4 linked regions of the Drosophila melanogaster genome follow. The protein of the gene in region 1 interacts with the protein of each later gene in a pairwise test. Each region holds a gene or a part of one and is shown in the gene's direction. Other genes may lie near its edges. The genes, in order: Spt, CG17211, epsilonTry and CG5359.

Region 1 (8,686 bases):
CATTAAATTTATCATTAACAAGTCTATTTATATGTGCATAGGAAGTGCATAGGAGTGCGCCATTCCTACACACTTTGGCTGGTTTAAGTGCCGTCCTCAGCGATTATTGCGCTGCGCTTGCCCTTGGGTGCGGAACACGGCAATGGAATTGCTCTCCACCACAATCGTTTTGGTTAGGACGTCGTAGGCGGTGCGATTGTTCTTGAAGAAGACCATCAACACGCAAATGGGGAAGAGCAGGGTCATCCCCAGGTTCTTGATCAGCGCGCGGGCGAAGGAGCGCATCAGCGAGGGAGTCTGTGGCGGATAAAGCAGAGCCCTCATCGGCTCCCTCTGCGGCTGGAGGACGAACTGTGGAAGGGGCGGCCCCTGAAGCGGCATCACTGCTTCCACATAGTATATGCGTATCTTCATCAGCGACTTGCCCGGCGTAGCCCCTTGGTATAGGTATGTCCACAGCGCTTCGTAGCAGCAAACGATGAACTTGGTCAGCATTTCGATTAGCAGGAGGTCGGTGGACATCGAAATAAAATCTAGTGATGTGTCAAAGAAGTTCGAAAAGAGGTCTTCTTGGTCCAGGGTGCGCCGAATCACGTCCTCATCGAACTCTATGTTGAACAGGTTGACCACCCCGAAGGTAATGATGATTTTCACAATGAAAAGGATGAACATATCGATGGTCTCCGCCACGGCGCGCTTCCAAAAAGGTGACAGAACGTACTCGTAGCCGCCAAGACGCTGTATGATATCCAGCTGGGCCGCCTCGCCCAATATCCGCAGGCCGCTGAAGTTTGGCGCAGGCAAACGAGGCTCTGCAGCTGGTTCTCCCGGCGCAGCAGCCGAGCCCTGAACCAGTGCTTGGGGTTGTCCCATGGCGGCTGCTTGGAGAGCAGCGGAAGAAGGCAGTCCCGGGAACATGGTCGGGTAGTTGGCCATCAGGTAGTAGGGAAACATGAGCATCGCATTCTGGGCCAGCGTCGCCTGTTTGGCCCACTCGGCGAGGCTTTCGAAGTAGGCTTCCTTGGTGGAGCGCTCCGTAAGCTTCTGACCCGTCTCCTCGCCTTGTTCACCCATTTTCTCAGTCTCACAATGATCGATTTTGTTATTTGGCTGGCTTTTATTTATTTATACAAGTTGACGTGTATTGCAATCGGTAGGGTGTGTCGGCGTATCGCTGCGAATGACAAATACTGCTAAATACGATTCCCTGTGAATTTCAAGCAGGGCGGGAAAATTTAAGAAGACTCACTTTAACTTTTGATGCGAAATATTTGATAGTACGTAAAATTCGAAAATATATTATTCTAACTTTTTGTACATACAACTATAATGTTGAATAAAAAGTAGTTGGGCAACCGAACAAGAAGCTGTTTATCTAATGAACTAAATGTAATGCATTTTGTAGTTCTTTAATATATAAATTAAAAGCACGAGGTCATACATTACCCGTATTTACTTACTTTGAAATCAGCGACACAACGAAGCACATACAATTGTCTGAATATTTTATTATTACACAGTTCGAAGTGGTTTGATTTCTTCCTTAGACATAGCAACTTAAGAATCGAATACAATAAATCCGTTGACAACCCGCCATGATATTTTAGATTCACATTGACAAACAGGCGTGAATAAGTTCTTAAGGATATCAAGCATTTAAAAAGTACTGCGCCAGAAGTCTACACCTTACATTCGTACCCTGGCGTGGACGATTTTGAATGCATGCGTATCAAATACCTAGCTAATGTTGAAAAATAACATGTACATTTGATTGGAAAGTGCATTACGTTCTGTGGTTCAATTTTCAATTTTAAGTAGTTGGGTGTTACACGCGTATGTATGTACCTTTTATGATTTAATTGGAATAGATTTAGACGAGCAGACGCGATTCCTGGTGGACATGGAGATGGACATGGACATGAACATCGTTTAATACAGTGGCTTGCTCGACAATGAATTCTTCTACGAACACGAATAGGACAACTAACTAAATTGGCAAGTTGTTGTATAAATCGAATGTATATAAACAAGCATCGCCGTCTCACACACACATGTTGCAACACCGAGACGAACCGAACACTCGTGTCTTACAATTAATTAAAGGAATACAACTACATAAATACACCGCGTATTTATTGCCACACATTACCGATATTAAGATTCCCAAACTGCTGGTTCAGATTTGACGGTACTGAGGAGGTGGTGGGCCCCGTTGCGGCAAATCCGCCCGCTCCTTGTGGCGGTTGGCCAATGTTCAGCCCACTGGGCAGGGGCTGCATTAAGTTCATGGAGAGGCCGCCAAGCTGTGGGTGATGTTGCTGCTGAAGCTGCTGCTGATGTTGCTGCTGCTGTTGCGGAACAGCTCCAAAGAGCGGCATCCCACTGAGAATGCTCTGGTTCGTTTGCATAAGATTTGTTGCAGCTGCCTGGCCTGCGGCAGCATAGGGACTGCCCCCGGTGCTGGGAAACTGGGCTCCAGTAAAGCCATGGGAGCCGCCCATGCTCATCGCAGTGGCACTGCTGATGGCAGCATTGCTGAACGCATTCGGTGCAGCCATAACTGGCGAATTATACATGCTCACCGAGTTCGGCGGTGTCATAAACTGGTGGGGGATCTGCTGTTGCTGCTGCTGGTGCATATAGCCGCCTGGGGCCATGCCCGTGAAGCCGCCAAAGTTCATCTGGGGGTTGTGGGTGGCTGGCGCGCTGCCGTACAGCGCCAGAATGCTGTCCTTGGACATCTTGCCAGACTGATCCTTCTCGTTGCCGCCGGCGCCCAGTGAGCCCTGGTTGAAGAAGTCCTGCTCCTCTTGTGCCAGCGAGTTCGGCTTCGAGCCCATCAAATTGGCGGCGTCGCCGTTGCTGCCAATCGGCTTATCCGGCTGGCCGGCAATCGATTCGGCGCTGAGAAAGCTGGTGAAACTTTCGTTTTGCAGGTCTTGGCTGGCATTGGTCGCGACAATGGGCTTGGTGGGCGAGGACAGTCCCAAGAGGTCGCTTTCGCCGGCACTGCTAACGCCGCTGCTGTTCAGCTGGACGCGTTGCGTCGTCTTTGGGCTGCAGCCGCCGACCTGGTTGGGTTTCGGCTTTGGAAGCGGCGCGGGCAGGGGGGTGTTCTTGAGCGCCGACGCAGATGACCCGGACAGGCGCTTGTCGCCGCTGCCACCGGCCACTCCAGCCAGGCCCAAAGTGGCCTGGGCCTGCGTGCTCTTCTTCTTGCGCTTCTGGCGCTCAAGCTCCTCGTCGATCTCCTTGGCCCAGTCCACTTTCGGCGGCGAGGGAGGCACCCACTCGCGGGCCAGGTACTTCTTGTGCTCGTACTTGGCCCGGATGAAATTCTCCAGCGCTGTGTCCGTCTGCGGGCGACGGAAGCCGTCCGGCAGCTGCGCCTCGTAGACGGCGCGAGCCCGCGAGTTTCCCATCTGCTGCAGCGAGATCACCTGCTCTGGCGTCCAAGTGTCCAGGTTGACGGACTTGACGCGCGATATGTGCACGCCCAGATTGCGATGGATGCCGGCGCAGCGGATGCAGAGAAACATGCCCAGGTTCCAGGAGGCCCAGCGCGGACCTAAGGATAAAAGGTAGCATTCAGTGACAGCACATAGGCTCATATCGCAGTGCAGCTGCATGTGTGGTGTGTATATCCACGCACGCACGCACACAGATGTGCGTCACCAAGAGGCGTATCTCTTGGCGGAGAAGTGGACCCCATTAACATACCCTTGGCATCGCAGTCCACGCAGTACTTGTTGTCCTCGTCGCGGAGCATCTGCGTCAGGAGGGTCTGGCACTTCTCCTGAATTAGCTTCGTGCGCTGTCCCGCATTCGAGGAGCTCATTTTGGGGTATGCTTGCGGTCTGTGAGGCCTGGTTTCGATATTTGTGGCGGGGCGCAACTGTGCGACGTGGCGTGGGCGACGGGTAGAGTTGGCGGAGCTTATCTCTGCTTCACATGGATATACAACTACCAGCGAATTGAATTGACAATTTTCTACAAGTTTTTGCTACCGAAAAAGTGATGCGTCCAGTGGGACCGTGTGGCGGTGAAGGCAGCTAGCCTCCCTGGTTGTCACTAACGCCAAGCCGTGCCATCTTGCCATTCACAGGGAACCGAAGCCACTTTTTAAAAAAGTTGTTTACTTTTACTTCTGCCCACAGAACATTTGAACTCACATTTGCCGGCAAAAATGGAAATTTTGCGAACGAAACTAGAGGCCTGCCTGCTGATACTGAACAGGAACAATGCAGCAGCTGCAAACTGGCTGAATGTAAGTGGGGGAAACGGACCACTAGCCCCAGGACATCAATCACTTGTTGCTTTGAATTTCAGGACCTGTGCGCCGTGCTATTGGAATTCGCTACTTTGGCCCACAGCTCCTTCTGCTCCCAGGGGCAGTCGGAGTGCTCGGAGCTGGTGTGCCTCTGCCTCAGCCAGATTATGATCTGCATTCGCCAAGTGGAGAACACCATGAAACTAGAATGCGGCACCACAGTCTCGGTGAGTAATTTGGATCTCATCCATGCATTGCACAATGATGTCTAATCCTCTGAAAGCAGGTAAGTCATCAGTACTTCCTGGACCGCATTCGCTGGTGCCTGAAGCGCCTCATGCATCTTTACAGCGAAGAATCGAGTTCCGAAGCAGTAGCTCCGGAGCGCTCGTTCCTTAAGCTGGTGGATGGCGCATTGGATTGTTTGGCGCAGTTCACCTCGCACAGTGAGGAAAACACCGATACCTCCAACTGTCCAAAGACTCCCAAGGAAGTCCTTCCACTCAGCCAGAAGTTGCGCGCCAACATTGATTTGATCTTGGGTCAATCTCTGGGATTCGCCAATGTGGCTTTGTCTCAGGACAAGAGGGCTCTCAGTGCCTTGTGCCAAAAGGTGGGTGTACATCTTCTGCAGTATCCCCTTATTTATTCCCCTCATTTGTGCTCTAGGTCATCCGGGAGTGCAATGCCTTTCAGGAGGAGTGCAAGGAGTCATTCAGTGCCAACTACCTGTCCACCCTTAAGCTGCGGGCCATGACCATGGAACAGGCAATTTACCAATTGGAGGACTTTATCAACGATGCGCTTTTGCGCTTGGTATTCACATGCTTCCTGGACTTCGAGAAGTTTTCGGTAGACAAAATTAGAGCGCTGTTAAGGAACAGCCCAGATAATGATGATCTGGCCGATGAGTTCATAGCGGACTTTGATGTGAACATAGATCGCGCCACCCAGATAGGCATTTTTGCCATTTCCTTTGCGCCCAACTTGAAAAGTATAATAATTATATATAATTATAAAAAAAAACGCAATTAACTCCAGTACCAATTCCTTTTCAGTGAAAACCATAATGCGCAGCTGTCTGGCCTCCTTTGAATCACTGGACACCACTCTGATACCTTCACTGCAGGCCCATGGTTCCGATTTGCACTCGGACATCCTAGAGCAGCACTTTAACGAGGAGGTGGCCAAGTTCAAGGCAGCGCTTCAGGAGATCATCGACAGCCGCGCCCTCGTTGGTTGTTGCCTGGAGATACTGACCTCAGGGATAAGTGCAACGGAAAAGCTTTTCGATAAGCAGCGATTGGAGGACTTGGTTCAAATCTCTTTGCTGCTAGTCGAGCACTTTCAGCTGGAAGTCAACCGAAAGGGTCTAAGCGAAACGCAGGACCGATTGGGGGAAGAGTACTACCAGCAGTTCATCCGGGTACTGCGCGAGTGCAAGGCTATTTTGATGTGCGCATCCCAGGTGGAGCCGCAGAGAATCCTCAAGCGCTTCAAGATCTTGCGCACGATCTTGCGCAAATTGCACGGCTCCCTGGGAGCTGGTAAACAAGAGGAGGAACTTCCTATTCCCCTGGCTCCCCTTTTAGCTGATGATACCAAGGGGGTAAATGAAGACGAAACCCATTTCACTGGCTATAAAACAGCCCGAAGCGGCAGTATCCTCTACGACACAGAGCGTAGGAATAGAGTAACTAGACGAACGGACAACAAGCTACCCACAAATACCTTGGACATTAAATCGGATAAGGCAAAACCCCATGGAAATGTTCTGAGAAGTAAGTCGGCTGATGTTTAGATAAATTTGGTAAGGTTACCAATGTTTTGAATGCTATTTTCAGGAGAAAGTTTACGGACTGTCATGTTCAAGCGGCAGAATATAGCTGAAAGCAGAAAGCTATACACCTCCATGAGTAATCAGTCTACGGATCTACAAATCACAGGTACCTAAAATGATTACATTTCCTATTTTATAAGTTTTTCCATTAAATTTCGTATATTTTTAGATATACTCGACCAACTCACTGGAATGTCCAATGGATACTTTGAATGCTGAAGCATTTCAACCATTTGTACATAACTTTTTATTTAGTTTAGTGTTTAAGTTCATACCATTTAAGAGATTTTGCAATTCAAACTTAACGTACGTCGCCACCTGAATGTCATAGGTCAGGTCAGGCATACACACAAACATGTATGTTCCTCGGGTGGCGAAGAGTATCGCATCGGAAACAGTTTAGACTGTTGTAAAAGTAGAGCAATAGGTTCCAATAAATATATAGACACATAGCACACTTGTCAGCGCATCTCCCTCGGTCGATTGACCTTTCAATTGCACTGGACACCCTCGTTCAACCCAACATGTGAAGCTGTGTGGGCAATCCCTATCGATTTTCCACCACGAGCGGCAGCCAGGACTCGCAGTCAACAGATACACACGGTAATTGCTTGGTAAACAGTAAGCACTCGGCTATGAAATCTCTGGCCGGCGATAAATTTGCTCTGTCCGAAGAGATTGGGCCACCGCCTTGTTCTCCCAAACACCGAAAAGCAAGTGCCGTGAGTAGGGACACGGATACAAATAACCATCATGTGGTGCCGCTGGGGATCCTCGTGGTGCTCTGCACTGTGTATCTCATGGTAGCCGGGATGCAGCGCAACTACAGGCACTATTTTAAGCCGGGCGTGGCTGCCTTCGACCTGCACCATGCCCAGCCGGAAGCCATGGCCGACGCCGAATTGGATGTCGCCGCTCCAGATGCATCGTGCCAGAGGTTGGACGTTTTCGGAAAGGAATCCAATCGGAATCAGGCAGTTTCAAGAAGATCCCAAGGCAGGCCCACGAAGAGAACCAAAAACGGCACTGGAAATGGGGTCAGCAAGCAACCTCGTCGTTTGATAAAGTCCCCGGAGGGGCACAAGAAGAAGGAAGTTGGCAAGAAGAGTAACACAGCGGAGCCCATTATTTACCTGTTCGCCCTTGTGTTTGTCTATCTGCTTCTGAAGGCCGCCTCGGACATCAACCAGCACTACAAGTCGGTAAGGATAACCCGCATTCCATTCCCTATTGCCACGTGAATAATCCTTCTTCGGCAGCAGAACAAAGGGGACAAGCGACTGCGCCGGTGCTCGCTGCAATCTTATGCCCAGATCCACAAGCAGGATCGCCGGTCATCAAAAGGTATTTCACCAAAATCTTTGCCAAAGTTTTAGCTCGCTGGGGGCCAGGTGCCTAGCCTATTACACCGTGTTAACGAGGGATCAAGTGAATTGTTATCCTATAAATCTAAATGTATCTACCACTATGTACTGAACTAGCCAATCTTCTCTACTCTAAAGCACCAGTTTTCTGACTTTTTCGGAAAATGTATTGTTGTGTATTGTGTATCTCTCGTCTGTCCTCAATCTCTATACATCTATACATCTGTACATCGCACTTTTCGGGCTCGATTATGCGTTTGATATCTGTGTTTTTGAACGACCTCCACTGTTTACCTCCTCTTCACCTATCTGTGAAACTGTACTGAATCCGAATATAAGGTTGTACATACTCGAATGTATATTACTGTCCTAAGTGTACGTAATCCTAAAATAAATCAATTACTATGTGCTTTCCTGTGATCAATTTACATACGTAGCCGTGTTAGCTTGCGTTTCATTTCCTCCGTTCGATTGGGCTTTTACGCAATCCTCTGCGATCCTCTCTCACCCCGAATCCCAAACTGACCGCTCTACATTTCCCCAATGCATGCCAAAAGTGGATGAGTCCCCCATCTTCCGGCGCAAGCATATAATCAGCGAGGAGCGTTCCGTATCTGTGGATCGCTTCAAGTACACGCTAAACGATGAGGGAGGCTTCACCAGGTCCGTTCCGCTGGTTCAGGAGTATCACTACAGGGTGGTATCTCCTTTGGCCAGCCGACCCAGTCAGCAGCATCCGCATAAGCCGGGATCCGGAGAAGCCCGTTTCGGTAAAGAGTCCCCACAACAAAGTGACACGTCCCATAAGACCAACTACTTTCTTCTCTAGAGCCTCGTCTTAACCGTCGCTCCTCGGTTCCGATCAGCATTAACTATCAAACGGTGCACGTATCGAGTCCACATCCTCCGGAAATGGCCAGGCGCGGCTCGGTGATAAGCCTCACTGGGCCACCACCAGAAGTCAGTGGTATGCCAAGTGGAGCCGCTGATCCAAAGCGGCGCGTCCGCATGATAAATCGCCATTGAAGTCCAGAAGTCCAGATGAGATCAGGACACAGCCCAACGAAATTGCAAAGAGACTACAGTATTTTAACACACCATTCGGAAACAGAAACCGCACACGTTGTAGTCCTTCTTAATGCGTTTCTTTTAATCAGTTAATTATGTTATATTATTCAAGTGTTTTAAAAAAACGTACAAAGAATATTCTTC
Region 2 (8,559 bases), on another chromosome or scaffold:
CAGCAGGTGTCCTAAATAGTCGAGTTTTTCCCTATTTTTTCAATAAAAGCAATCAAATGTGTGTCCCTAGTGGCGGTCACTTAAATGTGGGACTTTCCTTCGCATCACAGCTACTATATCAAACAACGAGCTGTTTTTTAAAGTTTATCTTATCTCGTAAAGAGAGAGGAACACGGTGAGCAACCAACGAACAGATTTATATGCTTCACATATTTTCGGGCTGTAAATAACAATTTCTTACATTGCACAATAACAGAATAACGAACCGAATCATTGTGAAATATGTGAGTTAAGTAAATAATGTTGAGACTATGGTTTCAAAATCTAAACATTTCTTACCAGAACTAACCTTTTTAACAATGGTCTTATAGATATTATATTTATAATATTTTCCTTATCAATGGACGGGGATCCCCTCGAAAATACAGAATGACAAACTTGAGATATTGCCCTCAACACCCTTTTGCATCTATTCTCATTGTTGACTGAGTCTATCATAACAAGAGAGAAATATATATATATAAAATCGTATAATCTTAAGTTATAATAGGCTCTTATCTGAAAGACAAGGGCTCTGATTGAAAGTTCTTATCATATTCTCGGTTGGCTCGCATGAAATTTTTTATCACGAATTAATTTAAAAAGCCGTCGATAGTGCCAATGTAAACAGTTCTGTGAAAACCATGATTGCGAATGGACAACAAACCATGTGGCGCCATCGCCACCTGGCCACTATCCTCCTGCTGGCGGTGTGCGTTTCCCAAGGATCTGGATTAGCCTTGGACCAACCCGAAGGACGCGTTGTGGGTGGAAAAGCGGCGGCGGCCAATAGTGCTCCGTATATAGTGTCCATGCAGTACGGAGGAACTCACTATTGCGCCGCTAACATCATTAATTCCAACTGGCTGGTAACGGCTGCTCACTGCCTGGCCAATAGGAATCAAGTACTTGGAAGCACCCTGGTGGCTGGAAGCATTGCGGTGGCCGGAACAGCGAGCACAACACAGAAGAGGCAAATCACCCACTATGTGATCAATGATCTTTATACCGGCGGAACTGTGCCCTATGACATCGGATTGATTTACACGCCCACCGCCTTCACTTGGACCGCTGCAGTGGCTCCGGTGAAGCTGCCATCGTCCGGCGTGAGGCCAACTGGAAAGGCTGACCTCTTTGGCTGGGGCAGTACTAGCAAAACGAATAGCCCCTCATATCCGAAAACCCTCCAGGAGGCGAAGAACATACCCATCATAAGCCTCGACTCCTGCGCTGCGGCACTTGGCTCTAAGGGTCAGGATGTGCACACCACGAACCTGTGCACAGGTCCTCTCACCGGCGGCACCAGCTTTTGCACCTCGGACTCCGGTGGTCCGCTGGTCCAGGGAAACGTTCTAATCGGCATCGTGTCTTGGGGAAAACTTCCATGTGGTCAGCCCAACTCTCCGTCGGTGTATGTCCAGGTCTCCTCGTTCATAACATGGATAGCAGCCAACCAAAAGAAATGAATTCTGGAGTATAAGATAGTATCTGAATAAAGAAATACTTATGAGATTGCAGTATCACGTGCTTATTATAAATGACAACTTTTAGAGTCTTTAAAATCATGCATTAATTGATTGTAATGTATCTTTGAAAGAACTTAAAAGCATTTATATACATTTTGTTATATGTCGAATTATCTTATCTAATAAATAAATAGAGCTAGTTTAAGAAGATGGTAACCAATGTATATATATATTTTATAACAAAGTAAATCAGATAAGACTATAAATGTTTTAGATATCCAACTTATATGTGAACCCAATTTTAACTAGATAAAGCTTTCCAAGAAGTAGCAAAAATAAAGATATAAAAATAAGCTTTATCTTTTCTTTTGTTATAAAAAACTGAATATAAACCAAAAAAGGGTAATGTCAACAAGATGTTATCTTTACCAAGAAATATCCGGATTAACTTTCCATTTTTCTATTGCACAACTATTCTGAGCACTATACTCCCCAGGGAACTTAGCACTTGGAATGAGTTTTGCTTTTGAATCCGTCTCACTTTTGGTGTCAGCACGTCCAGATTTCATTTCATCCCAGACACTCCTCTTCAATCGCTGTTTTTATCAATCATATTGATCGGAATGTTCTTATTGGGAAACTAATTGCTCGGTAAGTTGCTGGACACGATCGCAATCAGTTTATTGACACGACCAGTACATAATTGAATGGACATATCAATTTCCCATCACAATCACACCAGCAAAGCTTATTAAGTGCCTCCAAAAGAGCTTCGCAAGCAAGGCGGCCAAGAGCGCGGAACGTGGCCCAAAGAACGATGGCCAGAACACGCCCGCAGCTAATCAGGCTCTAATGGCGATAAATATTTCATTCTATATTATTCTGTTTCCATTCCCCCAACCAAACACGCCTCCAAGTCCCAGTCAAGCTGCCTGGCCAAGGAGTCAAGACAAAGCGACGACTCAACGGGAATGGACAGGGGAGTCCACCAGAACAGACCCACCGACGGACCCCCGCCTCCATCAGACGGACAAAATCTCCGACGCGATCGATGAAGACAAGGCTGATAAAGGAGTCACCATGCGGGAACCAGAGATGCCGCAGTGAGTCCACCCGAATTTCGAAAAAGTGGAAGTTGCATTTCTTATAGAGAGTAATCAATTGCGATCATTTGCAGCATATTATGAAGAACAAGTTTTAAAACTCAAAAAATTTGTTTAGTATAAGTTTAAAAAGAGTTTTTAGTTTATAAAAGTGAATACAAACTTATGTTGCATTCACGATGTCATCTCCGTTCTGAACAAAAGAAATTCATCTGAGCAAAGTTGAGGCAAGGCCAGATCACTGTGCTTCCTTCGCAATCTTTGTGTTATGAATCGAACAGATTTATGCAACCTGGCGAACAACATGGGCGGCTGCTCCTCCGTCGCCAGTCTCCAGATCCCTGCTCCCTCAATCGTTTGCTGCGTTCCTCCGCCGACGAGGATGAGGATGAGGATGCGACCGCGACATTTGGCTGCGCCATTATGAGTAATGGAGTAATGCCTGGAATTATTTACTTGGGGGCTTTATTGGCGTCGGCATTTGGCATCGGAATGAATGTCTGTGCTTTATGGTCTTTTGTGTATATACACACGCAAGTATATATTATTATATTTTTTCATGTCGGGATTCTGCGGTCGGAAAGACTGCGAATGGTTTTATAATTGGTAAAGGGAAGAACGGATTATTGAAATGAGTTAGATATGATTGGGCCATAAATAAGAGGTATAGATTGCATTGTTGATTCAAATAAAGTGACTAATGTGTTTGAAAAAATAGTAAATAGTGTAAAATATACAAAATATGTGTGAACAAATAAATTCTTGTCTTAACAAATAATATTCATATTTGCATTATGCTAGGTATAATTTTGTGTACATGAAGTTGAAAGTAAAGCCCCGCAAAAGTTACACCATTATTTTAATCACATGTCACGGACAATTATGTGTGGTGTCAATGAAGGCAGCTTGTCACTTTCTAGTTCATTCAACTCTTTAAATAAACTATTGAAGGTTTTTATTTTTCAAAAAAATAGCCCGTCCGAACTTTTATCTTTGCAATCGTTCCGCGAACTTTGGCCAATCTTATGGACAAAATCTAAAGCGAAATCTAATTTTTAATTGGCCAACAAACTGCGGACAAGCGACATTTCATGCTTATCGGCAGTACAACCAGCAATTAATCTCCCTTCGGTGGAATGGAGAAGACTCTCTTAGCAGATGCTCTCTTTCTCTCGAGAGAATATATCTCTTTCGCTGCAGCTTTCGAACGAGAATCTTTGGCGCGCTCGAACAGAAAAAGAATTCAGTATGCAGACAACTTTCTTCCGAATGCTTTTCTTAAAAGCAACTCGAACTTGTTGCTGAGCCTCAGTTTGAAAACAGCACGCGACGCGTTCAGAACGAGAAAACCATACGCGCAAGGTGGATATAAAAATAATAATAAAAAAAAAACACAATAAATGACTCTTCTTCGAAGACTCAAAGACTAGAAGACACTTCTTGTGGTCAACGATGATCGAACCCTTGAGTGGCAGTGGTGAAGTGCAAGCATAAGCAAACAAACAAATCAATAATAAACTAAGCTGTGGAGTTATATTCAATGCTTTTTTGTTTTTGTGCCCCACAGTTAGAGTGGATATAGGAAAACCTCAGACTGGACAGGTATGTGAACTTGCGGAAAACTCCAGGAATGCATCATTGGGAATTCTTGGTTCGTTCTTGGGGTCGTTGTTGCGGTTCTTTGTGGCCTCGCCGCCAGCTCTTTCCACACTTTGGGCATGCTAAAATTTAATAAGTGTTTTCCTCAAACCGTTTTTCCTGTCGCCTCTTTTTCACGCTTTTTTTTTCTACGTAGCTGTTCTTGTTGTTCAATTCTGTGATGCATTACCGTAGGGGGGGGGGGTGTGGTATATGCAGTTGGCACGTCCCTCTTTGCCGCCACCAACTTGGCAAATTCTTGCGGCACATTTCATTTATCTGTTTCGCTCCCGCTGCCAAAAGCATTTTCCGCGTCGTGTCGTGTTAACGGTATTGTTTACATGGTTAATAGAACCCACCGACTTGGTGGCCAGATAAATAAATACTAGTAGACACACACAAAAACCTACAGCCGGAGCCAAAAGACCATGCTTCAGTGCACTCGTTCTTGCGGCCGCAGAGACAAAAGCAAAATCACACACAATCGAAAGACTCAGGCAACGAACTGACTCCACAGGCAACGATTCCTGTGTGTTGATCTAGGTGTAATGAGTGCGGTAAAACAACATATACATTTTAATTCGTTTCTTGGAAGACTCTAATAATATTATCAAAGATTTCTGCACTTCTTTGCGTATTTATCAAAGCGTAAAGAGAACATGAAAATTCATATTTTATTCAATACAAACGAAAGACTGAGGCAACGAACTTTCTGGTAATAAAAAGTAAATGGTGTATTTATTTAATTGAATTAGAAATGAAATTCCCAACTGTATAATGTTAATCAAGTTATTCCGATTCCCAGCAAATCTATGCTAATTAAATAATGCTTACCAGCTTGCGCAGACCAATTAAAGAAATAGTCGATGACAGTAAAAGAAGCAGCCACCAAATTGCTTATTTATTAGCCAAAAGAAAAGAAAATATCTGGAAACGGCATGCTAATGATGTAAACTAAGCATTTAACTGTTAAGATGCCAGCAGCGGCAGGCAAACATAAAAAGTCGCATCACTGGGGCACACTGTGAGAAAAGCGGGGAGGTTCAATTGGGGCAAGACGAACCCAAGGTAACGCCGACAAAAAAAAAACTTAGGCGACTTCCTAAGACAAATCAAAGCCGTTACAATGGTCGCACAGCCGCAAAAAACGCACTCGGAATTGGAAAACCGGGGAAACCAGAAGGGAGAAGACCGAGAGTGTGGAGATCAAGGGAGAGAATGTAGGTTGCACTGGCTTTAATTACACTGCACAAAAAAGGAGGGTCAACAAATAAAAGATAAATATAACTTAGAAAAAAATCACCGTCGTACAAGTTTTGGGCAAAGTTTGTCCATCCTAAAATGGGAATATAAAATAAGATATTATTATTATTTATTAAATGTAATACTTAGTAAAATAAATCTATCTTTCGGCTTAATACAAATAAATCTTTCAAAATACATTACGTAAGAAAAAATGTGGATTTCTAAGATCTACCTTGTCATTATTATATACTCGTCTTTGTTTCCTGTGTATAAATGTTCAGAGTAATCTTTTGCTACTCAGATACTGACTGTGATGTTGTTCTTACTTTTTTGTTTAAGAAATTACCGTTTTATGTTGACAAAAAGAAGCAAGAAGAAGCAGCTGCGCTAGAAGAAGGAGAACTGGCTTAAGGTTGAGCTGGGAGTTTGAGTTTGTGTTTGGCTTCTGTGTGATTACAGTACCGCTCCTAATGATCATCATTAGATAGCCAAGGGTTTTTTTCTCTTCCATCCAGCTGCTGCGCCGATTCTACTGCTTCTTCTTGCCACTTCTTGGAGCTTGACGTGACGACATGCAATCGCAAAGAAGGTAGAAAGAAGAAGCTATAAGAAGCGGTAGAACAACACCAATAATATTTGATAATGCAAAGCGGAAGCTATAAAACTCGTGTGTAAGACGACATTTTACGTTAGACGGCCATTAAGGCGAGCCAAAAGAGAATTTGCTAATTGCCTGCAATTGAAAATGTTAGTGAAAGAACTCAGGGAGCTAAAGGAAATCTACGAGCTTGGGTACGAAGACGGGAAGAAAGCTTCATTAGGCTATATAATAATGTCTTTAACTGGAAGTCGAAATACACGACAATTATATGGTGCATAAATGACCTATATTCTATGTAAGTCTCAACTTTGAGAAACTGAAGAAAATTTTAAAAATGTTTGTCAAAAATCGTAGAATAATAAATTCATTTTATTCACTTACGCAATTAGTTGTAAAAAATAATAATCTTACCAGAAATTTGTAGAGCCTAGTCGAGTTAATGAGCTTACAAAGCCACTTGATATCTTTAAGGTATCAAAAGAACTTCCTGACTGCCCTTTGGTCATCTCGATAATCTGACCAAAGTGTGGTGTGCCACAAATTCGATTATCAGGGCCGGGAGCTGAGCTTCGACCGCCATCTCAAGGTCGAAAAAAAAAGTATCTTGTATCTGGTATCTGGTATCTAAACTCTCCTTTCAAGTGGAGCGCTGTAGTCCAGCCCACAGTTAGCGCGGCCACATTAGCAACATCTGATATGCCGAATAGCACTGGGCACTTAAGGAGAGGCCCCATTACCCGGCCAAGAACAACAAAAGCTGGCCCGCACGTAATCTGATATTGCAACGGTGAGGCAAGCAGCTGAAAAAGAGTGCACGTATAAAGAAGGCAGCGAAAAAGCAAAAACCAAACCAAACTTAGCCTGGCCATATGAGGAGAATCTCTTTCTTTTGTGTCGCCACTATCCGAATAACATCAGCGAAATACACGGAAAATAAGCAGACTTATGGAAATTAGATATACCTACCCCTATAAAAGGGTGTTGCTGGTCCATATATGAGGTTTATATTATGCAAAATATGGGCTTCGTAATTAATCTATTAGATTGTTGTTTATGTAACCAAACATTTTAGTACCTAGCTTATATATAAATGTATTTTATTTGGACACTTAGGTGTCATTTTTCCCATAGATATTAATACAATTTAATGGGGAGATATAAATTTCCTTTTTATGACCTTTGTTCTATGCTTCAATAAAACGTAAACCCATGTGCTTCCTTGACTTCTGTCGGCACATTTTTTGTAACGCATTGTCAGATTAATTGCCACAGGAGGAGGAATTTTAAAAGCCATCTATTCCCTGCTAATTAACTTCGGACTCCTCACGGCGACGTGCTGCAAGAACAGAGTCGAAGATAAAACATTTTATGGCTCTCTTAGGTGCTTTCCCCACCTGCAGCACGCCCCATTCCAACGCCAGTTGAAGTACAAAATACAAAAACCAAACCCTGGGCCACTCTAAGCCAAAGTCGGGCCTTGGGTTATTTATCAGAGCTGTCAGCGGGCCATAAATTCCGACTTTTGTCACTACCATTTATGGCCTAAAGAGTTAACCAATAAAAAAAAAAAACACAATTGGCTGGCGCAATGCGTTATATAAGCACTATGTCTGCATCTGATCTAACGGTGCTTGGCTCTGGGTTCTTTTGGGGTTCTTTTGGATTCTTTTGGAGTCTCTGGATTTTCTTGGGCTGCCCGGTTTCCTTGTTTACAAGACACCTTGACAAATGTGCCCGGAAAGAGGAAAACATTCGAGACGGAAAAACAACACGAGTCAGAAATTTGCATGGCAACTGAAATGGAAATGGGTGGAGTGAGAAGCAGCCAGGAAAAAGAAAAAAAAACAACAGCGATCACAACTCCATTGCAGTTTTATGGTGCATTGTCTTGCAGCGCTAGAAAGCTGAATAAAAAAAAAAGAAAGGAATCGCCAATTGTAACAAAAGTCAGAACAAGTTTGCCACAAACTCTGGCCGGTCGTTGGCTTTGGCCCACAGAGATGCGCGTGTGATGGAATTATGATCATGTTTCGCGGCACTTATGGAGTTTTCTAAACCACACAATATATGCACTTGCCATGACTTCAAAAACTGGGACACATCTTAAAGATGTGGTCTATACGAATTTAAAGCACGAAGCTTGGTATTTCTTTCAAATTTCGATTTTACTAATTGGTATATATATTTCAAAGATATGAAACCACTTATAACTCCGCAAATAAGTGCCATCTCTAGCAATTGAATTTAGAATTCGCCCAAGGAGTCGCATCTTTAAATTGTGGGAAAAGTAATGCAAGGCAATGGAGCACGTTCCATCTGCTGCATGATTTATGCATTACAAAAATATGAACTCTATATTAATCGCGGCCTGTCATGTTGACAATTTTATTACGCCGTTCTGGCCGCATCACGAATCCGATTATTTAACCTCGAATGGAACCTTTTGTACCTAAAAAACTAGTATAGT
Region 3 (7,186 bases), 2.4 Mb from region 1:
ACCACGAGGGCTACAACGCCAACACCATGGTCAACGACATTGCCATCATCAAGATCAACGGCGCCCTGACCTTCAGCTCCACCATCAAGGCCATCGGTCTGGCTAGCTCCAACCCCGCCAACGGCGCTGCGGCCTCCGTCTCCGGATGGGGCACTCTCTCCTACGGATCCAGCTCCATCCCCTCCCAGCTGCAGTACGTGAACGTGAACATCGTTAGCCAGAGCCAGTGTGCTTCCTCCACCTACGGATACGGTAGCCAGATCCGCAGCACCATGATCTGCGCTGCTGCCAGCGGCAAGGATGCCTGCCAGGGTGACTCCGGTGGCCCACTGGTCTCCGGCGGAGTCCTCGTCGGTGTTGTCTCCTGGGGATACGGATGCGCTTACTCCAACTACCCCGGTGTCTATGCCGATGTTGCTGCCCTCCGCTCCTGGGTTATTAGCAATGCCTAAGAAGTATGCGAAATAAATTTCAGTTTGGATATTACTTTTATTATGTTTCATTGTGGTTTTGACCTATTACTGATTCAACAGTAATGTGTCTTATTCAGCAAATGGGAAAGGAAACCTTCTAAAAAATGTATTCTCACCTCCTGAAAAATAACAAACACCTAGATTTCTGTCGGGAGGTTAATAATGGTTTAAATCATTTTAATAAATTAAAGGTAATTTGTTGAGGTACCCGTTTTCGATCAATTACTACATAGTTTAACTTATGTTAACCGAACTTACTCTTTAACAAAAGAGAATGCTATATTCGAGTTCCCCGACTATCAGATACTCTCGTTACTCAGCTAGTGTCAGGGTGAACGAACTAGCATCTTTCTTCTGGCATATCGATAGAAACTCCACAGTGAAAATGAATGAATGAAATGAATGAATGATATGAATGAAATGAATGAATGATATAAATGAATGAATGAAATGAATGAAATGAATGAAATGAATGAAATGAATGAAATGAATGAAATGAATGAAATGAATGAAATGAATGAAATGAATGAAATGAATGAAATGAATGAAATGAATGAAATGAATGAAATGAATGAAATGAATGAAATGAATGAAATGAATGAAATGAATGAAATGAATGAAATGAATGAAATGAATGAAATGAATGAAATGAATGAAATGAATGAAATGAATGAAATGAATGAAATGAATGAAATGAATGAAATGAATGAAATGAATGAAATGAATGAAATGAATGAAATGAATGAAATGAATGAAATGAATGAAATGAATGAAATGAATGAAATGAATGAAATGAATGAAATGAATGAAATGAATGAAATGAATGAAATGAATGAAATGAATGAAATGAATGAAATGAATGAAATGAATGAAATGAATGAAATGAATGAAATGAATGAAATGAATGAAATGAATGAAATGAATGAAATGAATGAAATGAATGAAATGAATGAAATGAATGAAATGAATGAAATGAATGAAATGAATGAAATGAATGAAATGAATGAAATGAATGAAATGAATGAAATGAATGAAATTAATGAATGAAATGAATGAATGAAATTAATGAATGAAATGAATGAATGAAATTAATGAATGAAATGAATGAATGAATGAATGAAAAAAAAGTTTTGATTGGTTTGTGGGCGTTAGAGTGGGCGTGGCAAAAATATTTTTGGCGAATCGATACAAATTTACAAAACAATAAAAATGTGAAAAAAAATCAAAATATTTTTCAAAATTGTGGGAGGGGAGGGAGGGGAGGAGGGGAAAGGGGAAATATGGGTCTATGTCTCTAGAATCTGTATGCCTAATCTCAAGCTTCTAGCTTTTATAGTTGCTAAGAAACTCGACAGACGGATGGGGCTATCGATCCTGATCAAGAATATATGTACATTATATGATTGGAAACACTAACTTGTAGCTGTTAGATACATTTAAACGAATCTATTATACACTTTTACTCTACGAGTAAAGAGTATAAAAATAAAATGGTTACGAATATATCGTTATAAAGTAAGTCTTATGTAGAATGATGCGTATCGAGCCTATAAAATTCATATTCTTCTTGATCATGATCTAGATTTCCCTATCCGCCTAACGTACAGTCTTGGAAAACTAATAGAGCTTTAAAGTTGTAGTTAAAAATGCATGTTTTATTTACGACTACATTGCGCAAGTTTGCTTCTTAATAATGCCTAGTTGTTTACAATTCCAATCACGCTAATAATCCTTAGGGCATTCTAACAGAATATGGGGATAGTTAAATCCAATCAATCAATTTCCATAGTCCTAAAAGCAGTCCCTTTACTGCTTGCACAACTCACTATATCTAATAGTCATTGCACTCGAACAGTCATTACCATCTAAAAATGTGAACCCTGTGTCCTGATTTTTAACTAAGACCATCTTTTAAAATAAACTGACGACCGTCATAAACTGTTCATATATGATTTATTTCGAAAAATAATTAGGCGTTGTTGATCACCCAGGAGCGGAGGGCAGCAACATCGGCATAGACACCGGGGTAGTTAGCGGCAGCACATCCGTATCCCCAGGAGACAACACCGACGAGGACTCCGCCGGAGACCAGTGGGCCACCGGAGTCACCCTGGCACGAGTCCTTGCCGCTGGCAAAAGCGCAGATCATGGAGCTCTTGATCTGGTTTCCGTAGCCATAGGAGGAAGAAGAGCACCGGCTCTGGCTGACGATGTTCACGTTGACATAACGCAGCTGGGAGGGAATGGAGCTGGAGCCAGAGGACTCGGTACCCCATCCGGAGACGGAGGCAGCAGCACCGTTGGCGGGGTTGGAGCTAGCCAGACCGATGGCCTTGATGGTGGAGCTGAAGCTCAGAGAGGAGCTCAGATGGAGCACAGCGATGTCGTTGACCATGGTGTTGGCGTTGTAACCCTCGTGGTTCTTGAAAGAGGAAACCTTGGCGACGACGCCACCAGAGCTCCAGTAGCTGGATCCGGCGCGGATCTGCAGGGAGGAGGCGGACACGGACTGCAGGCAGTGAGCGGCGGTCACGATCACCCTGGCGGAGTAGATGGATCCACCGCAGGAGTGGCTGCCACTGCGCTGCAGGGAGATCTGCCAGGGGAAGCTGCTGATGGTGGTAGCAGTACCGCCGACAATGCGGCCATCCAACTGGGGCAGGAGACCCTCGGGGATGGTGCCTCCCAGGGCGCAGGCTACAGCCGACAACAGGATCAGGAACTTCAGCATGGTGCGATTGAATGGATACTCTTCGAACCGAAAAGTGTGCTTATATCGGGGGTCACTATCTCGGGAGGCGTTTAATCAATGGACAAGTGAGATTCCTCGTGGTTAAAGTGGATAACGATGTGGAGTGGTCGTCGTGTGATAAGCTGATTATTTCTAAATATCACCGCCTATATCGATGGTGAAAATGACGCAACAATTATGCTGAAGTTGCAGCTGTCAATCAAGTGGAGATATTTGCCGCGGGGACTGTATAAAAGGGGTTTTGATCCGCGAATCAGCATACAAACGATTAAAATGTTGAAATTCGCGGTACTTCTTTCCGTTTTGGCCTGCGCCTTGGCTGGCACCATTCCCGATGGCCTGCTGCCCCAGTTGGATGGTCGTATCGTCGGTGGTTATGAGACCAGCATCGACGCCCATCCCTACCAGGTGTCCTTGCAGCGCTATGGATCACACTTCTGCGGTGGATCCATCTACTCCCACGACATTGTGATCACCGCCGCTCACTGCCTGCAGTCGATTGAGGCCAAGGACCTGAAGATTCGTGTGGGCAGCACCTACTGGCGCTCCGGCGGCAGTGTCCACTCCGTTCGCTCCTTCCGCAACCACGAGGGCTACAACTCCCGCACCATGGTCAACGACATTGCTATTATTCGCATCGAGTCCGATCTGAGCTTCCGCTCCAGCATTCGCGAGATCCGTATTGCCGACTCCAACCCTCGTGAGGGCGCCACCGCCGTGGTTTCCGGCTGGGGCACCACCGAGTCCGGTGGCAGCACCATTCCCGATCATCTGCTGGCCGTTGATCTGGAGATCATCGATGTGTCGCGTTGCCGCTCGGATGAGTTCGGATACGGAAAGAAGATCAAGGACACCATGCTCTGCGCCTACGCCCCACACAAGGATGCCTGCCAGGGTGACTCCGGTGGCCCACTTGTCTCCGGAGACCGCCTTGTCGGTGTTGTGTCCTGGGGCTATGGATGCGGTGATGTGAGGTATCCCGGTGTCTACGCCGACGTTGCCCACTTCCACGAGTGGATCGAGAGGACCGCCGAGGAGGTGTAAAGCCAGACAAACACTTGAAATAAATCGCAATTGAATCAGCATTGATATCTGTTTCTCTATTTGGGCCCAATTGCGTCGCAGGTGTAAAGCCCTCGAAATTGCGGCTAGATAAGAATTGTAGCGTGGGCTGTATATAAGGTTGGACGGGCGGCATGTAAGCCAGCACTTGTTAGCAACGCCCATCATGTTGAAGATCGTGATCCTCTTGTCCGCCGTGGTCTGCGCCCTGGGAGGCACCGTCCCTGAGGGACTCCTGCCTCAGTTGGATGGCCGCATTGTCGGCGGCTCTGCTACCACCATCAGCAGCTTCCCCTGGCAGATCTCCCTGCAGCGCAGTGGCAGCCACTCCTGCGGTGGATCCATCTACTCTGCCAACATCATTGTGACCGCCGCTCACTGTCTGCAGTCCGTGTCCGCTTCAGTCCTGCAGGTCCGTGCTGGATCCACCTACTGGAGCTCTGGTGGCGTCGTCGCCAAGGTTTCCTCTTTCAAGAACCACGAGGGATACAACGCTAACACCATGGTCAACGACATCGCTGTCATCCGTCTGAGCTCTTCCCTGAGCTTCAGCTCAAGCATCAAGGCTATTAGCCTGGCCACTTACAACCCAGCTAACGGAGCCTCTGCCGCCGTTTCCGGTTGGGGTACCCAGTCGTCCGGATCCAGCTCCATCCCCTCCCAGCTGCAGTACGTGAACGTGAACATCGTTAGCCAGAGCCAGTGTGCTTCCTCCACCTACGGATACGGTAGCCAGATCCGCAACACCATGATCTGCGCTGCTGCCAGCGGCAAGGATGCCTGCCAGGGTGACTCCGGTGGCCCACTGGTCTCCGGCGGAGTCCTCGTCGGTGTTGTCTCCTGGGGATACGGATGCGCTTACTCCAACTACCCCGGTGTCTATGCCGATGTTGCTGTCCTCCGCTCTTGGGTGGTGAGCACTGCTAACAGCATCTAAGCTGGTACCCAGTAGGTTGGATGTGTCAAAAGCCTTCAATAAATATTTGCCATTCAGAACATAGATGATTTGTATTTGGTCTGGGTACTTTAACATAAGAGGGTTTACAAAATATACAGAAAGCTTTTGTATTTACTTCTATGTAGTTTAAGTTAGTGGTTAAGCCTAAAGAATAAAGTAGTGGAAGTTGAATGTATTACACATACCACTTATTACACCTTTCGTATTAACAATAGGGAAACAGTTCTCGAGGTTGCCCGCGTCACAGGTCTTATCTTTTGTAGGGTTCACGGGTATTCACATAAAGTAAGATAATTCAACGCACCTTCTGTGATTTTCACCGATTTCAATGGGCTCGAGTGGCTAAAGGTAAACATTTGTCCAGGACCAATCTAATCAACTTCGAGTGCATCGCGTGGCTAGGGTTCCAATTCATCTTCCATTGATAAGTTGAGTGATGGTCTGGACAGCTGTGGCAAGATTAATTAGCCGGAAAAAAATGAATAGATAAGATTGCACAGATTTGGACACTCGAAGTTGAACGTTTTGGTGAACCGTGACTGGTGAAATACTGGACGGTGTGAATAGATGGTAGGAATGGATTGTCTTCTGTTCTTTTTCTTATATTTGTGAATTAAACGCAACAACAATTGCAAAGAATAAACAATTTGCCATATTTTTTAACCGATAATGCTGTTTATAAAAAGTTCCATTATCAATTCCATAATAAAGTTGAAATTTGCCATTTTTAAGTAGAAATTTTGATTGGCAGAGGGTCGTTCATATAGCCACCCCTTATTTTAACGGGTATTTCCAACTCGACGTAGCATTGGTGACGTTTGTGCTAATTTGTGCTTTTAATGGGCCATTAAAATTGTCTCTTCTATGACTTAACCTACTTTTTGGGAATTACGTGTCGTAGAAATCACCTTTGCCATTTCGTAAATGTGGTAAAAGTTATATCTTTGCATGTGAAATTTTCAGTAAACCTCAATTGGGTGAAGGAGTGTCTTGCCTAAGACTCACATATCCACGAACCCCAAAGTCAAGTGAGAAAATATGTCGGAACATTTGGTATGAAATCAAATATATCCTAGTAAATATCTTTTTTACACAAAATTTATTTTTGCACATAGTTCTTGAATAATAATCGTTATAGAAAAGCCATAAATGTTTTATTTGGGTCATCGCTTATTTTTTAAACGGGGAATACTATAAAGGTGTGTCTTGTGAAAAGCTCCTCTAATCACCTAGAATGACAAGGTCATTCTAGCTTGAGGGCAAGCTATCTATATCTAATAACACCCGTTGAAGTGCCGACTTCCGAGTTTAGACTGGTGCTGCACATACACATACATACGTACCGCTTTCTTTGATTGATAGCAAGTCTGATTGATAAGAAACAAGCCTACGGCCTTCTAGTGCATGGTATGCTAATTCCATGGATCAAAAGATCGACCGATACTGTCAGCTGGCCACTCAATGGTTAACATTCCACCCACTTCATCAGCGTATTCGCGCCTGATGGAAAGTTATAAATGTCTGCCATGGTTAACTGATTGGTCAGTGTTTTTCCAGAATGCACAGATTAGTGGTTCTTTTAGTTTGCCTGGCTGTGGGTTCCGCCTGTGCTGGCACAGTCGGGGTCTCCAATGGTGATCCCTTCGAGCGCGAAGGTCGCATTGTCGGCGGCGAGGATACAACAATCGGAGCGCATCCCTACCAGGTTTCCCTGCAGACCAAGAGTGGCTCCCACTTCTGTGGTGGTAGTTTGATCAACGAAGATACTGTTGTCACGGCGGCCCACTGTCTGGTGGGAAGGAAGGTCTCCAAGGTGTTCGTGCGTCTCGGTTCCACGCTCTACAATGAGGGTGGAATTGTGGTTGCTGTCCGGGAGTTGGCATACAATGAGGACTATAACTCGAAGACCATGGAGTACGACGTGGGCATACTGAAGCTGGA
Region 4 (7,479 bases), on another chromosome or scaffold:
CCAGTTCCAAGGAGCAGGGCGGCGCTGTGGCTGCCGTCCACTCTGAACAGTCAGAGCGACCAGGCACCAGCAGCAGCGGCACGCCCACAATATCGGATGCGGCGGGTGGAGGCGGAGGAGGAGGTGGCGTCTTCAGCAGATTCCGCATCTCGCCCAAGTCCAAGGAGAAGTCAAAGGTCAGTGATTGTACCAAATATATAATTGTAATGTGGTTTTAGTCGGTGTTGGTGTAACCAAGTGTTGTCTGCCTCATGGAGATTGGCTAGTCCAAGCTATCGATTCACACGACCTCATCTAGCATATAAGTTATATTAACTGCCGAGGACTCGATGTCTGGTGTAATAAGTGTGCCATTTATAACATATGAAATTCTTTTAATCATTTTGCAGTCTTGCTTTGATCTGAGGAATTTCGGTTTTGGTGTAAGGACTTTTAACTATTCTAAACTCTATTTACCACACACTTTCGAGTTTTCCAAATTTCTTACACTCTCAACAGCTTAGTCTTATTATTTGGCATCCGTTACATTTGGTTTATTTTTTATCTAATCGCACATTTCTTCATCTGAGTGGGCTTTTTGTCTGTTTGCTGTCCTATTAACACAATAAAGTTGCCACAATTTTCTTATGATTTCTTTTCATTTACTTTATTTTTTGTTTTCTTTTACCCTTTGCAGCAAAAGTAATCTAAGTCTTAACATTTAAGATTGACTGCTGAATTATTTCTTTTGCCTCAAAAATAACATATATGTTTTCTTAGTTTAATATCTATTAGGAGCGCATGGGTTTCAGGGAAACCTTACGGACATAAGGATATTCAGTTGTGTGTTTTAAACTTTAAGTGTTTATGGCTTAAGTACTTGGCAGCTTTTTGTTTAATGGGAATTAGTTTAAGAAGTGTTATTTATGATTTAAGCATAATGGATATTTTGCATGATTGGTTTCCCTGGATTCCCGGTTATGGTAATCAATAAAAGTTATGTGTTAAGTTTTTTGCCTTTGGACATTTTGCACGTTACATGTACTATATTTTAGTAAATAACAAGCTGTTTCTAATAAGATTTTGAATATTGTTTATTTTTCCATACGTTTTTCTCGACCTCTTTTTTTCCTCCTCTGAAAAACACTCAATCATTTAAACCGATATATATTCTGATACCTCCTAACGCCATGCTATACTAGGACAAGGATATGCTGGTCTGCAATGCAGCATCTCCAGCAGGAGCCACATCCGCATCACAGAAAAATCACTCGCAAGAGTATCTGAACACCACGAACAACAGTCGCTATCGAAAGCAAACGAACACTGCGAAACCGAAACCCGAATCGTTCTCTTCATCCAGTCCGCAGCTCTATATACACAAGCCCCACCACCTGGCCGCAGCTCATCCCAGTGCCCTGGACGACCAGACACCACCACCCATACCGCCTCTTCCACTGAATTATCAGAGATCCGATGGTTTGTTCTTCTCATTCTATGTCTGCATATACCGTCCACCCATTTTTCCTGTCCCGACCCACTGAATATTCATACAAGCGGAAACGTTACGGCCTGATTTGATCCCCTTTCCTATTTCCCAGATGAGAGCTACGCTAACGAGACACGAGAGCATAAGAAGCAACGTGCCATATCGAAGGCTTCACGACAAGCTGAGCTCAAGCGATTGCGAATCGCTCAAGAGATTCAGCGGGAACAGGAGGAGATCGAGGTGCAACTGAAGGATCTGGAGGCACGCGGCGTGCTTATTGAGAAGGCCTTGCGAGGCGAGGCGCAGAATATTGAAAAGTGAGTGCTAGGATCTGGCTATATCCTTGAATACCCATTAAATGAAATCTCTTCTACAGCCTGGATGCGACAAAGGACAACGACGAGAAGCTACTTAAGGAACTTTTGGAGATTTGGCGCAACATCACAGCACTCAAGTATGCTAATCAATGAAGCTCTATAATAAACAAATCTAATGTAATTTTGTTTTTAGGAAACGCGATGAGGAACTGACTATAAGGCAACAGGAACTGCAACTGGAGTATCGGCATGCCCAGCTGAAGGAAGAGCTCAATCTGCGCTTGTCCTGCAACAGTGAGTGTTATAGTTTCCTCTCAAAACTTTGATATAATATTTAATTCCATCATTGCAGAACTGGACAAAAGCTCTGCCGATGTGGCCGCCGAGGGAGCAATTCTCAACGAGATGCTGGAAATTGTCGCCAAGCGAGCCGCCCTACGACCCACAGCCTCCCAGCTCGACCTCACGGCAGCGGGATCAGCATCCACGTCCGCCGAGGCAACGGGCATTAAGCTGACGGGACAACCGCATGACCACGAAGAATCGATCGTGAGTAAATAGGACCTATATGTTTAAATTTGAAATTGACAACACCACTTGTTTCAGATTTGAATAGCCAACTTTCCCTGGAGATTGCTGGTCTGCGAAGTGGTGCATGGACTGTTGAGCCTAAATACTTAAGATGAAACAAGGGAACAGGGGAGAGCGTACCAAAAAGGCAGCTGAATATACAGAATTAACAATACTAAAACCCGTGAGCTGTAACCGAAACGAGCAACTAACTATTCAAAGTGGATAAGCTGGCTAAGAACAATTTCAATATTTATATAAGTAGAGAGCCTAACTAATATGGGAGAAGCGCGCAAGGTTAATGTAAAAACAGGCAGAGATGAAATCAAAACCAAAAAACTAATTTCGCAATTTAAAAGTAGGGATTACGAATGTTTTTGCGAATACCTTTAGTTTCGTATTCGACCTAATTGTACGTTTTGTTAGTCGTTGCCACTGAAATCTGTCTGATTTTTGTATGTCCTATGCAATATGTTGTGTTTTTATTTAATGTAATGTAGTGAGCGTGTGCAAAGGGTATGTGATTTTGAGCAAATGTAAATGGTGTATTTGAGTTTTCTTAGGTTATTTTCACTTAGCGATTGTTTGTCGATTTCTATGTAAACCGTTTGAGTGTATTATTATTTATTTGACAAAGCACCTTCCGCACATCCTCCCGATCAGCACACCCATGTATGTATTATGTCATTTGCCCCCAATCGAAATCAAAGTGAACACAAAGAGATGCACACAAATATTTTCTAAATGCGAGAGCCTACACATAGCGATGTAAGCGAGAAAGCAACCATTAACTGTATACTAACGAAATCATTTAAATTATTGCGTAACTTTATTTATAACCTGCATATATAAAAACATATTTATCGAATTTATTATGTAACTTTTCGATTTATTTTGAATTGAATAAAGATTTTATGAAACCTAAGGACGATTTTATAGTTCTACTTTATCGTGAAGTTTTCCTTAAATGTCCTTAAAGAAATGTTCTTTAATGGGGAAATTCCGCCATCGACGCTAACTTGACGCACATAAAATATTGGCGCGTATTATAAATTTAAATTATCCAGAAAATGAAAGAGGTGCCACACTTCGTTGTTATAAAGTGGCCACACCAAATAAGTTCGGTTATTCGTGGTGACTGACAATTAGGGATTGGCGGGAAAGCCATTTTACCATCTGGTAACACTAGCAATAAGTAAACAAACATAGCAACCAAGATTTTCTTGGTGCTTTCTTAAACACTTTGAAAGGGAATTACGCTGAATTTGACAAAAGATGGCTGACAAACAGTCCACTGAGGAAACAACCAAATCCGTCCAGACTTTAACAGTGCCCAACCCAGCGGATAGGAAGTCGGAAAAGTCGGCGTCAGGAAGTCTGCACTCCGGCTCAGCCGATGGTTTGGAAAATCAAGAAAAGTCGGAAAAGCCCGGCGACCAGCCCACCGCCTATAGCATGCGACCGGCCTTTGGGGAGATGTTTCCCCTGCCCACCATCAAGAGCATAATGAACAACGTTATGGCCGAGAAACTCAAAGGTTAGTGTGAAAATCCATAAATATACTGCGCGTTGCCTAGCAACTTCACTATTTGAAGACAAAACCTATGACAAGGACGTCGCCAAGAAGTGGACCAGTGAGATCGCCGACGAGGTGAACCAGCAGATAGCCAGCAGCTCCCTGGTGAAGCGGTACAAGCACGTGGTCCAGGTGATGCTAGGCCAGGAGCTGGGTGCGGGGGCCACTTACAACTCGCGCTGCTGCTGGGATTGCGACTGCGACACTTCCGTCTCCGAGGTCTTCAGCAACACCAGTCTCTTTTGCGTCTGTACAGTGTTTGGAACGTATCAGTACTAAAACCGATTTCCCACAGAACTAGTTAGACTAAGGATTATACTTTAATGGGGTGAGCTTACATTAAATGGGTTGTCACGAGATGTGTTTTCTAAAAATATTATATAGATAAAATATTCAACAAATGTTGTTTAATTTAATGATAATTTTAAGTATGAAGTTTCTTTACTTCCATTCAAATTTCATCTGCCCAGAGTCTCGTGACACCCCCGTATATTTACATTTTAATCTAAGCAATGCTAACATCTCGTATTAGTAGGCACCGGGAACAAAGGGTTCATCACTTTCGATAGTCGACCTTCGTCGTGCTTCATTGGATGCGTACGTTCAGCGGATTCAGTATGCGGCCCGACATCACAGCCACGTCCAAGTCGCGATCGACGATGAAAAACAGAAACGGATGATTCACAGAGATCTGAATGGGCTTCGATTGGGCGCCGTAGTTGCCTAGAGAGTAAAAGGAAGTGTTTATTGCACTTTGTCTCGTGTTGCAGAGGCTGCAACTGTTGCAACACCATTAGGTTGGGCATTCGCAATGCGTTGCGGCTCAATGCCTCCACTCCATTCCATTCAGGTGTGCTGCAATGCGAGACACTTACGCTTCAGCTGATTGATGGGATGCGTACGGATGGTGACGTCTATGGATTGCTCAATGTGTCGCACGTAGACGCCCTTCTCCTCAGTCATGGGCCTGAAATCGGCGCGATTTGGTTCGAATACGTCGCAGCTGCAACGAAAGTAAAATGAAGCCAGGAACTGGAGCTATTACACCCATGCTTACATTCCCATCTGCAACAGAGAGCACAAAAACCAAAGACACCTCAATAAAAACACAAAAATGCACTCTACAAATGAATACATACATTCTGCAAGTCGTTTGTCAAAAACATGGTGCCGTGCAGCTTGAAATCTGGAATGATGGCTTGCACCCAGCGTGGCTTCAACTGCTTCCGCATCAGTCGAAGGGTTGGTCCCAGTTTCAAGGAGGCGGCGGCTGCAACAATATCCGTGTGGTAGTCGGGCAACAGGATCATTAGGTTGTACTCCGGTGTGTCCAATTCCAACTCCAGCACGCTCATCTTCAGGTGCTCAAAGTACTTGTAGTACAGCACTGCGTTATATACCTTGAAGGTGGTGTGCACCACCTGTTGATTGCCCAAGTAGAATACGTGGCTGATCACATCCGTGTTATAGTTGGACTTTCCCTCGGCCGCCTCTCCGATATAGTGTGGCTCAAAATCATTCGTGATGGGTGCAAAGGCAGCGGGCACTGGCGGCGGAAAGTGCAGCGGGTGGTGCGGGACATGCGTGTGCGGATTGAAGAGGGTCAGAAAGAGATTTGCATCCAGATCCTTGTATGCTGGTATCGCATGACGCTTGTATCGTGCTGTCTTCGTCTTGCGAGTCACCGATATGTTTGCTGGTTGCACGGATGGCGCTATAATAGAAATTACTTGCCGTGTTCCTGGTGGCTTTCGCTCCGCCACCTGGCGAGCCATCATTGGCATTGGCATGGCCACTGTTCGCGCACTGGGCAGGTAAATGGGCTTGGGAGTGATTGGATTCGAATGCTTTAGCGGCGCCTGTAGTTTGCTGGTGGGCAATCTGGAGACTCGAGCCTTCTGGATGCGCAAGAGAGGCTCGGAGTCCTCCTCGGCTACAAAAGCGGACACTAACTCGGCTGCTTCATCCTCACCAGCGGGCTCAGCGGCCTCCTCTTCACCCGATGTTGCAGCAGGTGCTTCTGTGGTGGCCTCCGTTTCCGCTGGAGTCTCTGTGGTGGTGGTTGGTGGCTCTGCCGTTGTCGTCGCCGGCGGCTCTGTGGTTGTTGTGGCCGGCTCTTCTGTTGTGCTCTCCGCATCCTTTGACGTTGTGGTTTCCGCATCCATTTCCATGGTCGTCGTATTGCTGGCCATTGTGGTGTTGACCAACTCGGCATCTGATGTGAGATTGGCTGGTGTGGAGGAGAGCATATCTACACTTAAGTCATATCCGTAAAACATAAGAACCGTCTCAAAGTCCTTGAGAACAGTGACATTGCCCTTGTTCAAGCTGAGTCCTTTCAGTGGATTGTCGGAGCCAAAAAAGTAAGTCTGGAAAATAGAATAAAAATCTATAACATTAGATTATCAATCATTATTTAGCATATATGCTGAGTATGTCCTTTATAGAGTCCCAAGTTGTAAAATATATATGTTATTTAGACTCTGCTAATTAAAAAAATTTCTAAAATTAAGTTAGCCCTCCAACGAGCCTACTGATCAATTTCATTACCCAAATTCTGATCAGCAATAGGTACGCAACGATGGACAATTAAAAAATCTATTCACTTGAACAAATGCTGGTTAGTTTTTTGGGAGATTAACCGATCCAATGGGGTCGACGAACTATTGAAACCAGATTGGAGATCGATTGAGCTTTGGTCATGGGCCTGGGGCAATTTGTTTGTCAGTACGCATATCTGGTTTTTCATTTTGTTCTTTATCAATGACCACTTGGTGCTCCCCATTCTAACCACCTCACTTTCGGACTGGTGCTTAGCCAGGCGTGTAAATGTGCGTGGCCACTTAATTTGGATGGCGTTCTCGAGCGGATTACCCCCCATGGCAATGGGTTAAGTTCAAAGCAGCTGCCACAATGGCCTACTTGGTGGAATCCAATCTCACCCGCAGTCGTCGATGGATGTCGCGGTAGCCCACGCGGGTCACATCCCTGTTGTTGGGCAGCTGCAGGACATGGCGCAGTTCCTCGGCGGTATTCCCGGCCGAACCCTCGAACAGAGCCACCAGCACACTGACCAAGGCAGTGGGCGAGAAGGCGAAGTTGTTGCGGTTCAGGATGGAATGGTAGTGGAGCAGGCGGTGGGTCAGGTCGTTGGTCAGGTCCACCATCACCTCGGCGGGAGTCAGCTCCTTGGCGGCCAGCACCTGAGGTAGATGATCCAGCGGCGTTAGCGGAGGCGGCGGAAAGTGCGGATGCGGAAAGCCGCTGGCACGAAATTCTTCATGGTCAATTTGTATATAGTGGGCATCCACCTGGAGTAGGTGGACCAACAGCCAGGTGAACAGTAGCACCAATCCAGCCATGACAATGCAGCTGACCTCGGTCCGAACTGATTGATAGCTCACTTAGCACTCTGATTGTCGCGTTCGCGGCTATTTAGCAACAAAAATTGGCAAGCTTTATCCGCTATCCCCCCAATTGCAGTCCGTTCATTATTTTCCACTTTTTTTGCGATCCCGATTCAATTAGCCCAGCTGATGATCTGCACT

Evidence for each region.
Region 2: the proteins of Spt (region 1) and CG17211 interact in a two-hybrid assay, tested with the Drosophila melanogaster proteins (one large-scale study listed by BioGRID).
Region 3: the proteins of Spt (region 1) and epsilonTry interact in a two-hybrid assay, tested with the Drosophila melanogaster proteins (one large-scale study listed by BioGRID).
Region 4: the proteins of Spt (region 1) and CG5359 interact in a two-hybrid assay, tested with the Drosophila melanogaster proteins (one large-scale study listed by BioGRID).

Annotation. Positions count from the first base shown.
Region 1 is NT_033778.4:8,918,150-8,926,835, reverse strand, and holds Spt (spitting image), read left to right. Parts: upstream 1-4,080; 5' UTR 4,081-4,186; coding exon 4,187-4,267; intron 4,268-4,329; coding exon 4,330-4,497; intron 4,498-4,556; coding exon 4,557-4,883; intron 4,884-4,939; coding exon 4,940-5,264; intron 5,265-5,328; coding exon 5,329-6,051; intron 6,052-6,114; coding exon 6,115-6,216; intron 6,217-6,279; coding exon 6,280-6,329; 3' UTR 6,330-6,566; downstream 6,567-8,686. Other genes in the region: CG8237 (uncharacterized protein), read right to left, coding at 97-1,074; CG8243 (uncharacterized protein), read right to left, coding at 2,133-3,568, 3,721-3,838; CG8248 (uncharacterized protein), read left to right, coding at 6,746-7,312, 7,370-7,486; CG34219 (uncharacterized protein), read left to right, coding at 8,022-8,244, 8,304-8,500.
Region 2 is NT_033779.5:12,110,441-12,118,999, forward strand, and holds the start of CG17211 (uncharacterized protein), read left to right. Parts: upstream 1-3,919; 5' UTR 3,920-4,210; intron 4,211-8,559. Other genes in the region: Phae1 (phaedra 1), read left to right, coding at 1-15; Phae2 (phaedra 2), read left to right, coding at 708-1,505.
Region 3 is NT_033778.4:11,342,360-11,349,545, reverse strand, and holds epsilonTry (epsilonTrypsin), read left to right. Parts: upstream 1-3,479; 5' UTR 3,480-3,498; coding exon 3,499-4,269; 3' UTR 4,270-4,309; downstream 4,310-7,186. Other genes in the region: gammaTry (gammaTrypsin), read left to right, coding at 1-452; betaTry (betaTrypsin), read right to left, coding at 2,443-3,204; alphaTry (alphaTrypsin), read left to right, coding at 4,454-5,224; thetaTry (thetaTrypsin), read left to right, coding at 6,804-7,186.
Region 4 is NT_033777.3:9,997,353-10,004,831, reverse strand, and holds CG5359 (uncharacterized protein), read left to right. Parts: upstream 1-3,555; 5' UTR 3,556-3,630; coding exon 3,631-3,892; intron 3,893-3,950; coding exon 3,951-4,210; 3' UTR 4,211-4,259; exon of another isoform or gene 4,260-4,326; intron 4,327-4,463; 3' UTR 4,464-4,517; coding exon of another isoform or gene 4,518-4,654; 3' UTR 4,655-4,806; coding exon of another isoform or gene 4,807-4,934; 3' UTR 4,935-4,988; coding exon of another isoform or gene 4,989-4,996; 3' UTR 4,997-5,061; downstream 5,062-7,479. Other genes in the region: Mical (molecule interacting with CasL), read left to right, coding at 1-176, 390-422, 1,182-1,458, 1,581-1,785, 1,845-1,922, 1,979-2,079, 2,138-2,334, 2,392-2,397; Spn85F (serpin 85F), read right to left, coding at 4,518-4,654, 4,807-4,934, 4,989-4,996, 5,071-6,300, 6,874-7,293.